Coturnix japonica: one gene and its partners. The protein of the gene in region 1 interacts with the protein of each later gene in a biochemical or structural test. Links are inferred from orthologs where the notes say so. Each region holds a gene or a part of one and is shown on either strand. Other genes may lie near its edges.

Evidence for each region.
Region 2: the proteins of PATJ (region 1) and TJP3 form a complex in vitro, tested with the Homo sapiens proteins (2 studies listed by BioGRID and IntAct, with this or other methods). The link is inferred for Coturnix japonica from reciprocal best matches to the Homo sapiens genes PATJ and TJP3.
Region 3: the proteins of PATJ (region 1) and CLDN1 form a complex in vitro, tested with the Homo sapiens proteins (2 studies listed by BioGRID and IntAct, with this or other methods). The link is inferred for Coturnix japonica from reciprocal best matches to the Homo sapiens genes PATJ and CLDN1.
Region 4: the proteins of PATJ (region 1) and TANC1 interact in a test that uses a peptide from one of them, tested with the Homo sapiens proteins (2 studies listed by IntAct, with this or other methods). The link is inferred for Coturnix japonica from reciprocal best matches to the Homo sapiens genes PATJ and TANC1.

What each region holds. Positions count from the first base shown.
Region 1 is NC_029523.1:24,599,854-24,603,353, reverse strand, and holds part of PATJ (inaD-like protein), read right to left. Parts: intron 2,253-3,500; coding exon 1,887-2,252; intron 1,283-1,886; coding exon 1,162-1,282; intron 124-1,161; coding exon 1-123.
Region 2 is NC_029543.1:434,416-437,915, reverse strand, and holds part of TJP3 (tight junction protein ZO-3), read left to right. Parts: intron 1-96; coding exon 97-175; intron 176-271; coding exon 272-443; intron 444-712; coding exon 713-821; intron 822-1,221; coding exon 1,222-1,441; intron 1,442-1,728; coding exon 1,729-1,925; intron 1,926-2,020; coding exon 2,021-2,116; intron 2,117-2,399; coding exon 2,400-2,470; intron 2,471-2,563; coding exon 2,564-2,875; intron 2,876-2,971; coding exon 2,972-3,196; intron 3,197-3,399; coding exon 3,400-3,446; intron 3,447-3,500. UniProt on the Homo sapiens protein: TJP1, TJP2, and TJP3 are closely related scaffolding proteins that link tight junction (TJ) transmembrane proteins such as claudins, junctional adhesion molecules, and occludin to the actin cytoskeleton.
Region 3 is NC_029524.1:12,071,444-12,074,943, forward strand, and holds part of CLDN1 (claudin-1), read left to right. Parts: intron 1-1,428; coding exon 1,429-1,593; intron 1,594-1,732; coding exon 1,733-1,817; intron 1,818-1,941; coding exon 1,942-2,104; 3' UTR 2,105-3,500.
Region 4 is NC_029522.1:33,276,658-33,280,157, forward strand, and holds part of TANC1 (protein TANC1), read left to right. Parts: intron 1-476; coding exon 477-734; intron 735-1,657; coding exon 1,658-1,783; intron 1,784-2,945; coding exon 2,946-3,227; intron 3,228-3,500. UniProt on the Homo sapiens protein: May be a scaffold component in the postsynaptic density.

The DNA.
Region 1 (3,500 bases):
AGGTGGTAATTCTCACAGATTTTTCATTCTTGGAAAACATATAATCCTCCCCTTCTTCCTTTTCAACACCTTCCAGGTCAACAGCGAGACCAGGTACTTCGGAGTCCATCTGAAGCTTTGTACCTGATGAAGTAAAGGCTCAGATGTAAACTTTTGCTTCCTCTGTCTCTGCATCTACCTATCACCTTTGGAAATAAACCCCCCAGCACAACCATGTTCCAGATGTGAATGGTGAGAGATGATCAAGAAGCTCAGAGATACAGAATATTTATTTGTGAAGGAAATTTAAAGCATGCTGATTTATTTATCTTTAATAACACCTTGCCTCTGACCTGCAGTCACGCAATAAGAGAAAATGCCAAATCTTATTGGAATCGAGACATGCATAGCTACAACTCACATGGCATATGTTTCTCACAAAAACATGATTAGAAGTACTGAATCCATCCTTCATGCAAGGAGAGCTGTACAAAGCCCTGATCCAGCATGGATGACTGATGTCATTTCAGTGCCATAAATATCAACACTAATTAAATCACTAGAGCTCCTTGCTAGAGTCATTAGTCTGTTGTACAAGATGCAGGTGACAAAGAATGGAAAGAACCCCTTTCTCCCAGTAAATGAGCACTATCACAAGCAGGCTGATAAACTATTTCACTGATAACATACCAATTTCTAATCACTGACTTTGGGGGGGGATGAAATTCATTTGGCCTTGAAGAGGTACCCTGAATTATGTATACTTGTGTAATGAAACTGCAGCAACCCAGATTCGATGTAAAGCAAATGCTTGTCAAAAAATCCACCTCCAAACTCTTCTCCCTCCAAGATGTCACTTCATTCATTCTGGTGTGTCCATTACCACTCATATGCTTTGACTGAGTTTCTCACTGAGGCAGCCTGGAGAAGGTAAGAGCTCATCCAGTGAGACCAGAAGACAGGTATAAACCCACAGGGCAAAGCTCTCACACACAGGGACAACAATCTCACTGCCCTGAGACAGTATGGAAACTGGAAAGGTTCACATCTGATTTAAAGCCAGACATCATTGGAAATGCACAGAAGCTGACAGAGAAAATAAAGTAGACCATGCATGGAGTTAAATTTATAAGTACAAAGTTACAACACATAAAGAAAAAATAGGAAAAACTTCTCACAAACCTAAATCCATTTTGTTTCTTGATCCTGACTGGGTAGCTCCAATATCCAGTAGGCCTTTCTGGCAGTCACCATGTGCAGTGGTTCCAGAAGATTGTGAAGTTCTATTAGCATTTTCTTCATACTTCAGGAGGAGAAAAAAGTGAAATTAGAAAGCAACAGTATCAACTTACATACAAGTATCTGACATGAATGTTAATTTTACATCAAACATTCACATTTTCTCAACTACATAGCTACCTATTCACATAATGGACAACAACACTACTGTAAGTACCTAAGCTGCACTACCATCTGGTTCTAGGAGCTGACTGAGATTAAAAATAATGAGGAAAAGAGGGAGTTCATTTCACTGACATTGCTGCTGGAGGCCCCAGCATGACCTGACTTTGGTTATTACTGAAACATATCAAATAAGTAGAACTTGCAGCAAAGAAGGCAGTCCAGATATCACAGATGGGAAAGAGGACGGAAGTATAGGATAGCTATAAATACACCAACCAGAGGATGTACCTCACCCAAGCAAATGTACAGTCACCGTGTAACAAAACAGAGCCTTCCAAAACGTACTAAAAGATAGACCAGTGTCCATTAGAGGTGCTCAGATCTGAACTAGTAATTAAAGCACAAGACAGACTGATTACAGAATTTAGGTCTGAAATTTGCCTTAAGGAATACAGGTCCCTACCATCAGGGTACAGCACTGAGACACACACAGCATTACTTACCATCTGCTCCTTACTGAACATATATTCCAGGGGCTGCTTTGGACTTAAGTTAGCACTGGATCTCAAGTCTTGTATTTTATCTGTCTTAAGTTGTTCTGCCCATTCTGTACTCAGGTTCTTCTCTGAAGATGCTTCCTGTCTGTCTGATGAGCTATATTTCAGGAAGTCTACATCTTCTTCATACTCATCCACCAACATTTCCCTTTCTTCATCCCCTTCTTCCGTTCTGGGCTTCCAGAATTCACACATCTCCCAGGACTCCTTCTCATATCCGCTGTCATTTTGAGAAAGCTGAAATGACCTTCCCAAGTCCAAAATTGGTTCATCGTCAGTTTCTTCTTTAAAAGGTGTTTCATCTCTGAAACCCTGCATAAAGCATTACAGGAATATAGATTTTTCATTATGTTTCTTGCTAGGTCTTAAAACTATGTTTTACATCAGATCACATTAAAATTACCTCCCGATTTTTAAAGTGAAAATCTTCTACCCCTTGCATTTTTCTCAAAGAAAATGCACTCTCTGACTTATTACATTAATAGCAAAAGTAACCACTGCAATACCCCTTAAATATGAAGAAATTTCATTTGGACAGTTCAGATATTGCTGCAGCCATTCAGAATAACTACTATGGACTGAAGTGAGGAATAAGGATTTTTAAACTATACAAAAAAAAAACTACGGGGGAAAAAAAACCACAACAAACAACCACATCCAAATCCAACTAAAGTATCTTTGTAACCCACATTTATTGTTATTGCTGTGTCTATACAAGTACATTTCTTATAATACAACAGCACCAGTTAAATGAAACTCAGTCTGAGTTCAAACCACAGAGCAAGGTACAACAAAACCAAAAAGACATTCAAGCCTCCCCTCATCCAGACCCCAAGACGTGAAAGATCTTGCTCAACAGTTCTTTCCCTGGGATTTGTCTCCCCAGTTTCCAATGCTTTGTGTTTCTCCTAAATTGAATGAGGAGCAATTCATCAGCTAACGGAGCGAGGCTGACTGCAGATACAGACTGCATGGACACCCCTGAAATTTTACACTTTACAGAACTATCAGAAAGCTTGCCATGGGCTGAAAGCTTTTCTTCTCTTTACTTTAGGCCACTGAGCATGTACGCCCAAACTTGGTCTTCAGGGCACTGAGACCCTGAACACAAATCACTCTGCAGATTCAGGGGTCCTGAATCAAAATGTTTTCCCTTCTGCTTCCTGCCTCTTCCCAGGCTCCCCACGGTACTTCACTATTTCTGACCCTTAGTGTCAGTGTCCTGTTTTGTTAGAAAAAGCCCAGACACTGCCAAAAAGTGCTCACAGTTCAAATGAGTGTCAGGAGAGAAAGCAAGAGACAGACAAGAGCATAAGGAAACAGTGCAGTAATACGAGCTGGCACGAACACATTGCATTAGCAATCTAGAGGTTACCCCATTTTTCATAGGCATTAAATGTTCTTTTTTGCCCTGAGAACCTCAATCTCACAAAATATCCCATCTGAAGAGATTCTAATTCTCTTCATTGTTACTTCAATTCATTTCACTCCTGCTGCATCATTCTCACAACACTGCAGTCTTCTAAGAGCCACCAACTTCATCATAATATTAAACAGTTC
Region 2 (3,500 bases), on another chromosome or scaffold:
TGTCCCCACTCCCACCAGCTCTCCCCATGTCTCAGTGGTCTGGGGAAGAGGCACACAGCCATCGGCACCTCCTGGACCAGCTCTCCTTCCTTGCAGACACATTGGAAGCCATGGAACAGGATGGCCACCACAGCCCCCGCAGCAGAACCACTGCCCGAGCTGCCCCCAACGATGGGTGCGTCGCTGCAAGAGGTGGTGGGAAGGGCTGAGCCCTGGGGCTGCTCCAGGGCTGGGGGCTCAGCATTGGTGACCATCATTGTGTTACCACCAGGCCTCCCCCGGGCAGGTACAGTCCTGACTCCAGAGTGGTGCAGTTTGTGAAGGCCAGGAGCGTGGGGCTGCGGCTGGCTGGTGGGAACGACGTGGGCATCTTTGTGTCGGGTGTGCAGGAGGGGAGCCCAGCCGACAGCCAGGGCATCGAGGAAGGGGACCAGATCCTGCAGGTACCTGGAAGTGGGAGTGGCACTGAATGATTTAGTGCCTGGCTTGTCCCTGTCCCTCCCATGCCAAATACTCCTCATACTGTTTCGATTTCTCCCACTGAGCATCATTTTGAGGCAGTGCTGGTAGGGGATGGTCCTGTTCCCAGCATTATGCTAGCAGGGGTCAGTTAGTCCTCCTGCTCCTTGGGCCCCCCGGGGCCCTGAGACCATGCTGGAGCCCCTGCCTTCCATCCCACTGGTGGGACACATCTGAGTACTTTCCCACACAGGTGAACGGCACCAGTTTCCAGAACCTGACCCGTGAGGAGGCAGTGCAGTTCCTTATGAAGCTCCCACCGGGTGAGGACGTCACACTGCGGATCCAGAGCAAGCAGGACAGTGAGTGATGGCTGGTGACTTCCTGGGCTCATGTCTCTCCGTCTCTTCTGAGTGAGCATTGGGCTGCTCAGCTCCTCACAACTCTTTTCTGCCCCACAATGTGGTCCTTCTTCCCCACACCGTCCTCCCCTTCCCCTGGGAGCTGATGGGAGCGCACTGGATGATCCTGGAGTGCCATTTGTGGCATCCAGAAGCAGGGGGGTTTTTGGCTCTGTGGATCAACTTGAATTGGCCACTGTGTGCTGTAGGGCCAAGTCCTGCTGTCCTCAGTGTGCCCAGGAGCACCACACATAAATAAGGTGTCCCCAGGGTCCCCCTTGGCCAGCACAGCACCTTCCTTTACCCCTAATTCCTCCTCTACCCACTGTTCCCTGATGGTCACTCTCACCCCGGGCTCCAGTTTACAGAAAGATGATCTCATCCAATGTGGGCGATTCCTTCTACATTCGGACGCATTTTGACTACGAGAAGGACACGCCTTCAGGGCTCAGCTTTGTCCGTGGGGACGTCTTCCATGTGCTGGACACCATGTACCGAGGGAAGCTGGGGAGCTGGCTGGCTGTGCGCATGGGCAGGGACCTGCAGGAGCAGGAGAAGGGCATCATCCCCAACCAGAGCAGGTAGGGAAAGAGCCAGGGGATGGCTCCCTAGTGATACAGGGATGTGGGTGGTGGGCCCAGTAAGAGCTGGGTAAGGGCTGATGGGTGATGGTGGGAAGCGTGAGCTGATGTAATACCTGCCTGGTGCCTGGGCTGGGGTTGATGATGCTGTGGTTGACGGAGGTCCTGGAGGGGCTTCCCAGCCTGAATCAGCCCTGTCACCAAGTGGGCACCCCAACTCCTGCCCAGCTCCTTGAATGGAAGGAGCAAATCCAAGGCTGCAGATCCTGAGCCCTTTCCCTTCCCAGGGCTGAGCAGTTTGCCAGCCTGGAGTCTGTGCTGAAAGCCACGCCTGGCGCCAACCCCTCGGGGGCACGGGCTGAGTTCTGGAAGCTGCGGGGTCTGCGGGGAGCCAAGAAGACGCTGCGGAAGAGCCGCGAGGATCTGTCTGCCCTCACAAAGCAGGGCCACTACCCCCCATATGAGAGGGTGGTTCTGAAGGAAGGTGGGTATCAGGCTGCCTGGACCCACCCAGGGTCCTCAGCCCTGGGGCTGTCCCTGCGCCCAGCCCCCCTGAGCTGCTCTGTCTTCTTCCCCCAGCCAGTTTCAAGCGGCCGGTGGTGATCCTGGGCCCCATCACAGACATTGCCATGCAGAAACTGAGCACGGAACAGCCTGAGCTCTTTGAGATTGCACGTAAGTGCCCTCCACAGTGTGATGAATTACACTTAGCAGCTGGACATTGGTGTAGATGATCGTGGGAGCTTTTTACTCAGTCCTGATCCTTCCTTGTGACCCCTCCATGACACCCCAGCACCCTCTTGGACTCAGGAACCCCTTCCCCCCCCACACCGTGAGGCAAGGCAGGTCCCACACAGCCCCCATTGAGGCACACGGCTCTGGGACCCAGCATGGCCAGACCTACACAGGTGGCACATCTGCCCCAGCCCCTCTCTGACCCTGTCTCTGTGTCCTGCAGCGAGTGTGCCACGAGATGGGGCGTCATCCAAGGTCATCAAGCTGGATTCAGTGCGGCAGATTGCTGAAAGGGTGAGAGCTTGCAAAACCTTCCTGTGTGCTGGGATGGGAGCCGGGTGGGGGACCCTGTCTGCAGCAGGGCTGAGTGCTGCTGCCCTGCCCCAGGACAAGCACGCACTGCTGGACATCACGCCATCAGCGGTGGAGCGCCTCAACTACGTGCAGTACTACCCCGTGGTGGTGTTCTGTGAGCCCGAGAGCCGGCAGGGCATCAAGGCCATGCGCCAGTGGCTGGCACCTGACTCCAGGAAGAGCTCCCGGCGCCTCTACGCCCAGGCCAGCAAGATGAAGAAGTACTGCAGCCACCTCTTCACCGCCACCATCAGCCTCAGCGGCAGCGGCAACTCCTGGTACGAGGAGATCAAGGGCATCGTCAGGACTCAGCAGAGCCAACCCATCTGGACGGCGGTGGAGCATGTATGGGGCAGAAAGGCTGAGCCCTGCAGGGGCTGCACAGGGCTGCGTCTGCCCTCTGTGCCCAGACACCGAGGTGCCCATTGTCCCTTCCCACAGGTGGATGCAGCGCTGGGGGACAGCCTGGACCTGCTGAACCCGCCGAGCAGGGCAGCCTCGGGTTACCTGACCTGCGACAGTCAAGCCAACAGCGACTACGACGACACGGATGGGGAGGGGGGTGCCTACACCGACGGTGAGGCAGAGGACACCTACAACCATCCTGCGCTTTCCCGCTCCTCTGAGCCAGCGCAGACGTACCCCAGTCACAGTGTGAGCCAGCAGGTGGGTCCCCCAAAGCAGGACGGGGGGCACGGGGGGGGCACAGGGCTGAATTCCTAACCCTCGTGGCAGAAGGGCTGTCACCTCTGATGTCTGCAGGTCCAGTGTTAGTGCCTTGCCCACCCATTGCCCCAGGGGATCACAGCCCAGTCCCAGCTGGAGCACAATTCCTGCTGCCCCCCTCTCATACCTGTCTGTTTTCACAGGTGACAGAGCAGCAGCCGCAGGGACAGTGGGCACAGGAGCACCTGAGGTACCTGCGTGCTGCTCAGCTCTGCACAGCTCTGCTCAGCTCTGCACAGCCTGG
Region 3 (3,500 bases), on another chromosome or scaffold:
CTTGGACTGCACTCCTAGCTGTGCAAACTACTTCAGGTTAAACTCAGAGACCTTTGTTGTGTACCAGCTGTGATGGATGCATGGTAGTGGTGCTGTAGGTTTGTGCTGTGCTGACCGATGGATTTTCAGGTGCTCTGTTGTACCACGTAGGCTTAAATCATGCCCTGCAAGTGCTCACAGACCTACAGAATGCATTGGTGTGGGCCGCACACCTGGGAATGGGTTATAGTGCTAAAAGAGTACATGTCACATATTGCTAAGTAACCTATGTCAGGGACAGCTCTGCCTTAGTCACAGCGTGCTCCTGGGAGCTTGCTCCTGTGATTACCCAGCCCTGTTTGCTCCCAGGTTTGTATATGAAATGGCATGCTGTTCAAACAAGCCCAGTTTGCCAGGCAGTAAAGGCTCTGGCTAATTTTACTGGTGCTTGCTCTTCATTGTTCAGTCACCTCAAAGTCATTAGCAATGACTTAGTTTCTAAAATTGGTTTTCTTTCATTATTTGTAAAATCAGAGTTCTGTAGCAAATACATACATGATTACTGTGCCATCAGATGAGTTAATATAAAGCCAAATCCTAGGTAAGGAAATAAATCTGTCTGCTGAGAGCCCAGGCCAGGATGATCCTTGCCAGTGGGAGGCATCACCCTCTGCTCCAACTCCTCAAAACCAAAAGGGGTTCCTAAAACCTTCTGTATTGAGTCTTAAATAGTTAAGGCCAAAAAGTTGTTCACTTTTCCAGGGAAAAATCCTCTTTCTGTGGCAGTAGTGATTTTATTTTAATCTTCTGGGACTCTCTTCCATTTAAAGTCTAAATCAGCATGGAGGTATTTGTACAAAAGACAGGTTTTGGAGGTGTTGAGCAATAAAGGGCCCCCTGCTGCCTGCTGTGGCACTATTCATATGTATGGTACTATTCATATTAAAACACGGCTAAATGCTTTGTCAAGGAAGGGCCCAAATCTGAATACTTCTTTTGATAAACAGATATGTCCTTCCCATTGAGATTCAAATATTCAGGGAACAAAAGATGTCTGAGGGTAATTCCCAGGTCATTTCCTGCATACCGTGTTAACCCGTGCATGTTAGAGGAGACTGAGAGAGTCCTTTGACTTTCATGCATAACAGTCCTAGAGCTTAAAACTAGAATCTCTCTTCTTTGTTGTGTCCCGGTATACCACAACAAAGTGAATTATAGAATCAGTAGGCTTGGAGAAGACCACTAAGATTATCAGTTCATCTCCCCCATGTCACCATACTACTAAATCATGGCACTCATGACTACCTCTACCCTTTTCTTGAAAACCGCTAGGGATGATGACTCTACCAGCTCCACCATGATTACTGAACCCTAGGAATCTGAGTTTCTGTGCTCTTGCTTTGTATCTTGAGTTGTCTTTGTGATAACACAAACCCTGATGTCTTGCAGGCAGTCTGCAGGCCACACGAGCCTTGATGGTGGCCTCCATACTCCTGGGCCTGGTTGGTATTTTTGTTGCTGTGATTGGCATGAAATGCATGAAATGCATGGAGGATGACCCAACGAGGAAGATGAGGATGGCGGTCTTTGGTGGGGTGATCTTCATCATTGCAGGTCAGTAACATTACAGTTATTAAATAACAGATTGTTGTTACTCCAGGTGCTAATTCTGCTGCATACTTCTATTGTGACTTTTTTGTTGACTGTTTTGTTCTTAATAGTAAACATGGCATTTTGTTCCTTCTGTGTGCAGGTCTGGCAGCACTGGTGGCCACGTCATGGTATGGCAACAGAGTGGCTCGGGCCTTCTATGACCCTTTCACTCCTGTTAACACCAGGTACTAACCCATTTGATATCACATTATAATGCAGCTTCGCAAATGTTCATTGGGTATAGTTTTGGGTGGTGGCACAGAACACAGAAGGGATTAACAGCTCTTGCTCTTCCTTGTTTCTCCCCAGATTTGAATTTGGATCAGCCCTCTTCATTGGCTGGGCAGCTGCTTCTCTGGCTTTGCTTGGGGGGATCTTCCTCTGCTGCTCCTGCCCACCGAGTGAAACCTCCTACCCACCCAGCCGAGGTTACCCCAAAAATTCCCCCTCCACAGGGAAGGATTACGTATAATGAAATGACGAAGAGGAGCCACCAGCAGTGGTAGTAAAAGCATTTGAAGAGGACACTACAATGCCGCTGTCCTGAGCTGAGTTCAGACTCTTAGGTTTTGCCTTCCTCTTCTCCCAGAAATGTGTATATTTTTATAATCCTCTTTGCTACTGGACGTAACTTCTCCTTTCTCTCCCAGCCCGTGGAGGAAGGCTAGCCTAAGCTTGTAGGTATTGCCACTGGAAAGATTGAAGCCTCCAAGCTTGGGTTAAGTTTAGTATTTGGGAGTTAAAAGGGAAAATGTTTTTAGATGGATGTTGGTGCTTTTTTTTTTTTTTTTTTAGTTTTTTTATTAAAAATAGATGGTAACAATTCAGTCCCCATATCCCATTAAGTTAGAGCCCAGCGTGGTGTGTGTAGAAATCAAAGAAACACTATATACAAAAAGAAGACCAATAGCTTAAGGGGAAAACATAATCTGGGGGAAGTGACTTTACAGGTAGGAATGTTTGAAGAGATCTAAACTGTTTTTATACTGTTACTGGTGTCATCTTCAGCACCTTTCTGTGCAAAGGGTCAGATAAAATTAAATTGCTGTGACTTAAACTAAATTCTGTTACTATATGCATGTGCTGTTGGCCAACAGAAGATGTAGTGTAAGACAGCCCAGCTTAACTGTTTCATCTTTTCACGAGATCAGTTACGATGATTGTGTATTGGCCAAGGGCTGTAACATTACAGCTACAACTGCTAGCAAACTCCCAAGCAACTGCAGGTCTCCCTGGTGCCAGGGAAGAGATAGACAGAAACAATCCCCTGTTCTCACTGTTGTCTCTGGGGCTATTGTGTTGTTCCTTAGATGCTGTTGCTGGTGGTTATTTCTTGATATTCTTAGCCTGACTGAGCTCAAAGCTATATCCCCTTGTCTGTTACAGGTCACCTTTTAACAAGTGTTACCCTCTTTCCTTGAGTCATTCCAGTTTGGGCTTAGTTATAAATTACTGATTTGTTTGCCTTATGTGGCTAAAAAATGTTAAACCAAACAATGCACTGCCACTCCCTGATGTTTCCCCATGGATACCTCTTGTACTGTCATTTGACCCTATCTTTACTCTTGCAAATACTTTCAGTCACGATATGAAGGCAAATTCCAAGGAAACTGACCCAGAGGTTATAGCATTTTCTTTCAATCCAAGCTCACCAAAGAGGGAAGAAACCCAGCATTGTAAAGATAAAGCCATCACTGCGTATTAAGTCCTTTATGAAAACGCAGCTCATGGGTTTCCCTGAAACCAGTCTGTCACTAGTGTCTGACCAGCATTGGTGAGGCTGGCTGGAGATTAGTCTGGTGTTCCTAAGAGGGTGATACCAGCTTCCCAAGGCACCGCTTTGATTTAACTAAGGATGGAAGTTGGTT
Region 4 (3,500 bases), on another chromosome or scaffold:
AATTGTAACACCTTTATTTCTGCTCCCTGGTTTAATGGTTCAGTATCAGTACTGCTATCTGCCTGTGAGTGGTGACGCACTGTTCACAGGTTGCCCAAGGAGGCTGTGGATGCCCCATCCCTGCAGGCATTCAAGGCCAGGCTGGATGTGGCTCTGGGCAGCCTGGGCTGCTGGTTGGTGACCCTGCACACAGCAGGGGGTTGGAGCTGGGTGAGCACTGTGGGCCTTTGCAACCCAGGCCATGCTGTGATTCTGTGAAAATTAAACCATCAAGCCTGCCTTCTCTGATTGTGTTTGGCAGTTTGAGAAGCTGTGTTATTAGGCCTTTTAGATAAGTAATGTTACTCCAGTTTAACAGATTATCCACTTCAGAACCAGGCCACAGATGCTGTATGAGTTTGAAAACCATCATGCATATTAACACAGGTAGGCCATTTTCTTTTGAGGTGTACTTCAGATCTAATTTTCTTTCTCAGCAACTGTAACAAGCTCATCAGAAAATGATGATCGTAGTGGATCCAGTTTGGAATGGAGCAAGGATGGGAGTCTCAGAGCTGGAGCACACCGAGGAATTGGTCACGATCGAAGAACTGACAATTGTTCACCGGTTGCAGAAGAGGAGGCTGTTGGATCTGCTGAGAATGTGCCGAAGGAAGTACCAACAGGAGAGGGTCCTGTTCCTTACTCTCAGAGTTCTGGATCTTTAATAATGCCTCGTCCAAACTCTGTTGCAGGTGAATACTGAGATACAAAAAGGATTTTTTGTCAGTGATGTGACATCTCTGTTTAATCTTTCAGTTGAAGTTATGTTGTTAGTATGGAAGTATTTTTATTGGACAAAGAAGCATAAGTTCTAAGCTAAATAGATGCATATTACATGAATTGCCTCAAGTGCTGTGAAATCGATAAATGCTTGGACAAGTGCATCTGACTTGAGCTCCATTAGCAGTACCCAACAAATTCAGTAACAGGATGTTTGCTTACATAACTATGACCCTGCAAACAAAATCATCGGATGAAGTGTTGAGAAATGTGGGTACCATATATGTGACGCTAGATTTAGTTAACAGCTAACAGAAAGTTAGAAGTTAAGTAGTAAACACAGAGTGAAGAAAACCAGTGGAGAGGTTAGAGGGTTTGGTTATTGGTGTTCAGAAGGAAGAGAGAAAGATACTGTACTTGATTCCAGCTAGAAACTGTTTTCTGTAGAAGGGACTATTTTTAGCTTAAAAGATGGAACAAAAATTGCTGCATGGATTTTTCTTAGTGTGTCAAGTTGTGTGAGGGAAGTACAGTTGGTAAACCAACTTCTAAAACTATGAATGGCAATATTTTGGCTCTAGCAACTTGGGCAGGAATTTTGAACTTCTGATAATGCCACTTGAAACTATTCAGGAGTTACAGTGTCACTTTAAATTCAGCTGGCCAAGTTTTGAATCAAAGACATAAGCTGGTGAGAAAAGCATACTTGGCTGAAGAACACCACACTTTCACAGAGCATTTCAGGGGGTCAGTAGTACAGGAATAAGAGATCTCTCCACATAGAGGAACTGCTAGCTTGTATTTTATTCCCACTCCCTATCCCCCCACCCCCCAAAAATATATATATCATGTAATAAAAATAAACTTAATGATCTTCAATTTCTTAATTCTGTAGCAACAAGTTCTACCAAACTAGAAGATCTGAGTTATTTGGATGGACAAAGAAATACTCCTTTACGCACTTCAATTCGCTTACCTTGGCACAACACTGCTGGTGGAAGAGTGCAGCAGGAAAACAAAGGTAGGCACATTTACATCTGTAACTGTCTTTGCACAGTCACACTGCTGTTAGTGATTCTGTAATACATACGATATTTTAGAGTACTCCTGACAGATCACAGATACTGTTTGAAAGTAATGTGCCTGTTCATACTCTTTGCTGTGTAGTGCTGTGATTTAGAGACAAAATGTATGGCTTTTAATGGTAAATCAGTATCTTGTTTACCTAAATGCTTATAAGTAGTGCTGTGTAGATGATGTGAATGTCCATAGTGAAGTTATGTGATACCAATGACAGCTTTCCTGTCTGCCATATTTTACCAACTCGTGATACTCAGTTAACCACCCACTGCAATTTAACAGACAATTCAGTGAGTGGATTAAAGGCCTTCAGAGACTGTCATTAGAGTTCTGGTGTTGGAAAAAAAAACTGATCTAATACCACTAAGCCTGTTGGTGACAAAAATAGGCTTTAATATTTCTGATATTTGAAAAACACTATTGGTATTGGCAATTTACATATTTATTGATTACAGCTGAATGTTTGTGTAAATTTCATCAGTGAATATTACTGCTTTTGTAGACTTCAGTGTATTAAAAAAAAATTCTCTTATAAATCTTGTCATGTGTTTACCAAGCATGTCGATTAATGTTATCAAGCATGACTATGATTCTAGCTGTGTATAGAGTACATTCTTTTCTTGTAGCTTCAAAGAGACTGAAGAAGTGAGTAATATTATTTTTATGTTACTTAAAAAATTCTTTATTTAAAACTAGAAAAAAATTATCTGCCTTTTTCTATTCCTCTGTAGATGTTTTTACAGCTTTAAAGACATGATACTGAAATGCTCAGTAGGGTGGATCATGTTAAATTGAAAGATGTTTGGTACTTTTTATTTTATAGAATTATTGATGACTTTTTAAGAAAAGCCATGTTCAAACATACACGTATACTTATAGGACATTTTTAAACTCATTCAGAGTTTACTTCACATAAGAATTATGGAGGTGACCCAAACTGAGCAAATGTTTTTTTCTTGTTTCCATTATGGAAGCCTTAGAAGAATTCTTGTTGTGAACATGATCAAAAATGTCACTGAACAAAATGATCTTCTGAGACAATGCTGTTTTATTGCATGTCTGGTTTCTTCTAATAAACTTTTCTCCCTGCCACTTCTTCTCAGCACGTTTTGTCACCTATAAGCCTCAAGACATTTTGCTAAAGCCATTACTGTTTGAAGTGCCAAGCATAACGACAGACTCGGTGTTTGTTGGAAGAGAATGGCTGTTTCAGGCAATTGAAGAAAAACTGAAGAATACGGGCCTGGCAGAAAGCAGAGGAACAGTTATTACTGGGAATGTGGGATTTGGGAAGACTGCTATTATTTCTCGTCTGGTGGCACTTAGCTGCCATGGAAGTCGCATGAGGCAAATAGCTTCAAACAGTCCTAATTCATCCCCCCAGAGTAAGTCCCTTCTGCGAATAATTGTTTGGGTTATTGTACTGACAAGAATAATCAGAACATTGCTTGCTGTTCTGACCTAATTTAGCAGGGCTTACAGAATCCTTTGAGTTGGAAGCGACCTTTAAAGGCCATCTGGTCTAACTCCCCTGCAGTGAACGGGGACACCTACAGCTAGATCAGGTTGCTTAAAGCCCTGCCCAGCCTGAGCTTCATTGTCTCCAGGGATAGGGCATCCACTGCCTCTGTAAATGCAGTAAATGCATTATTTTCATG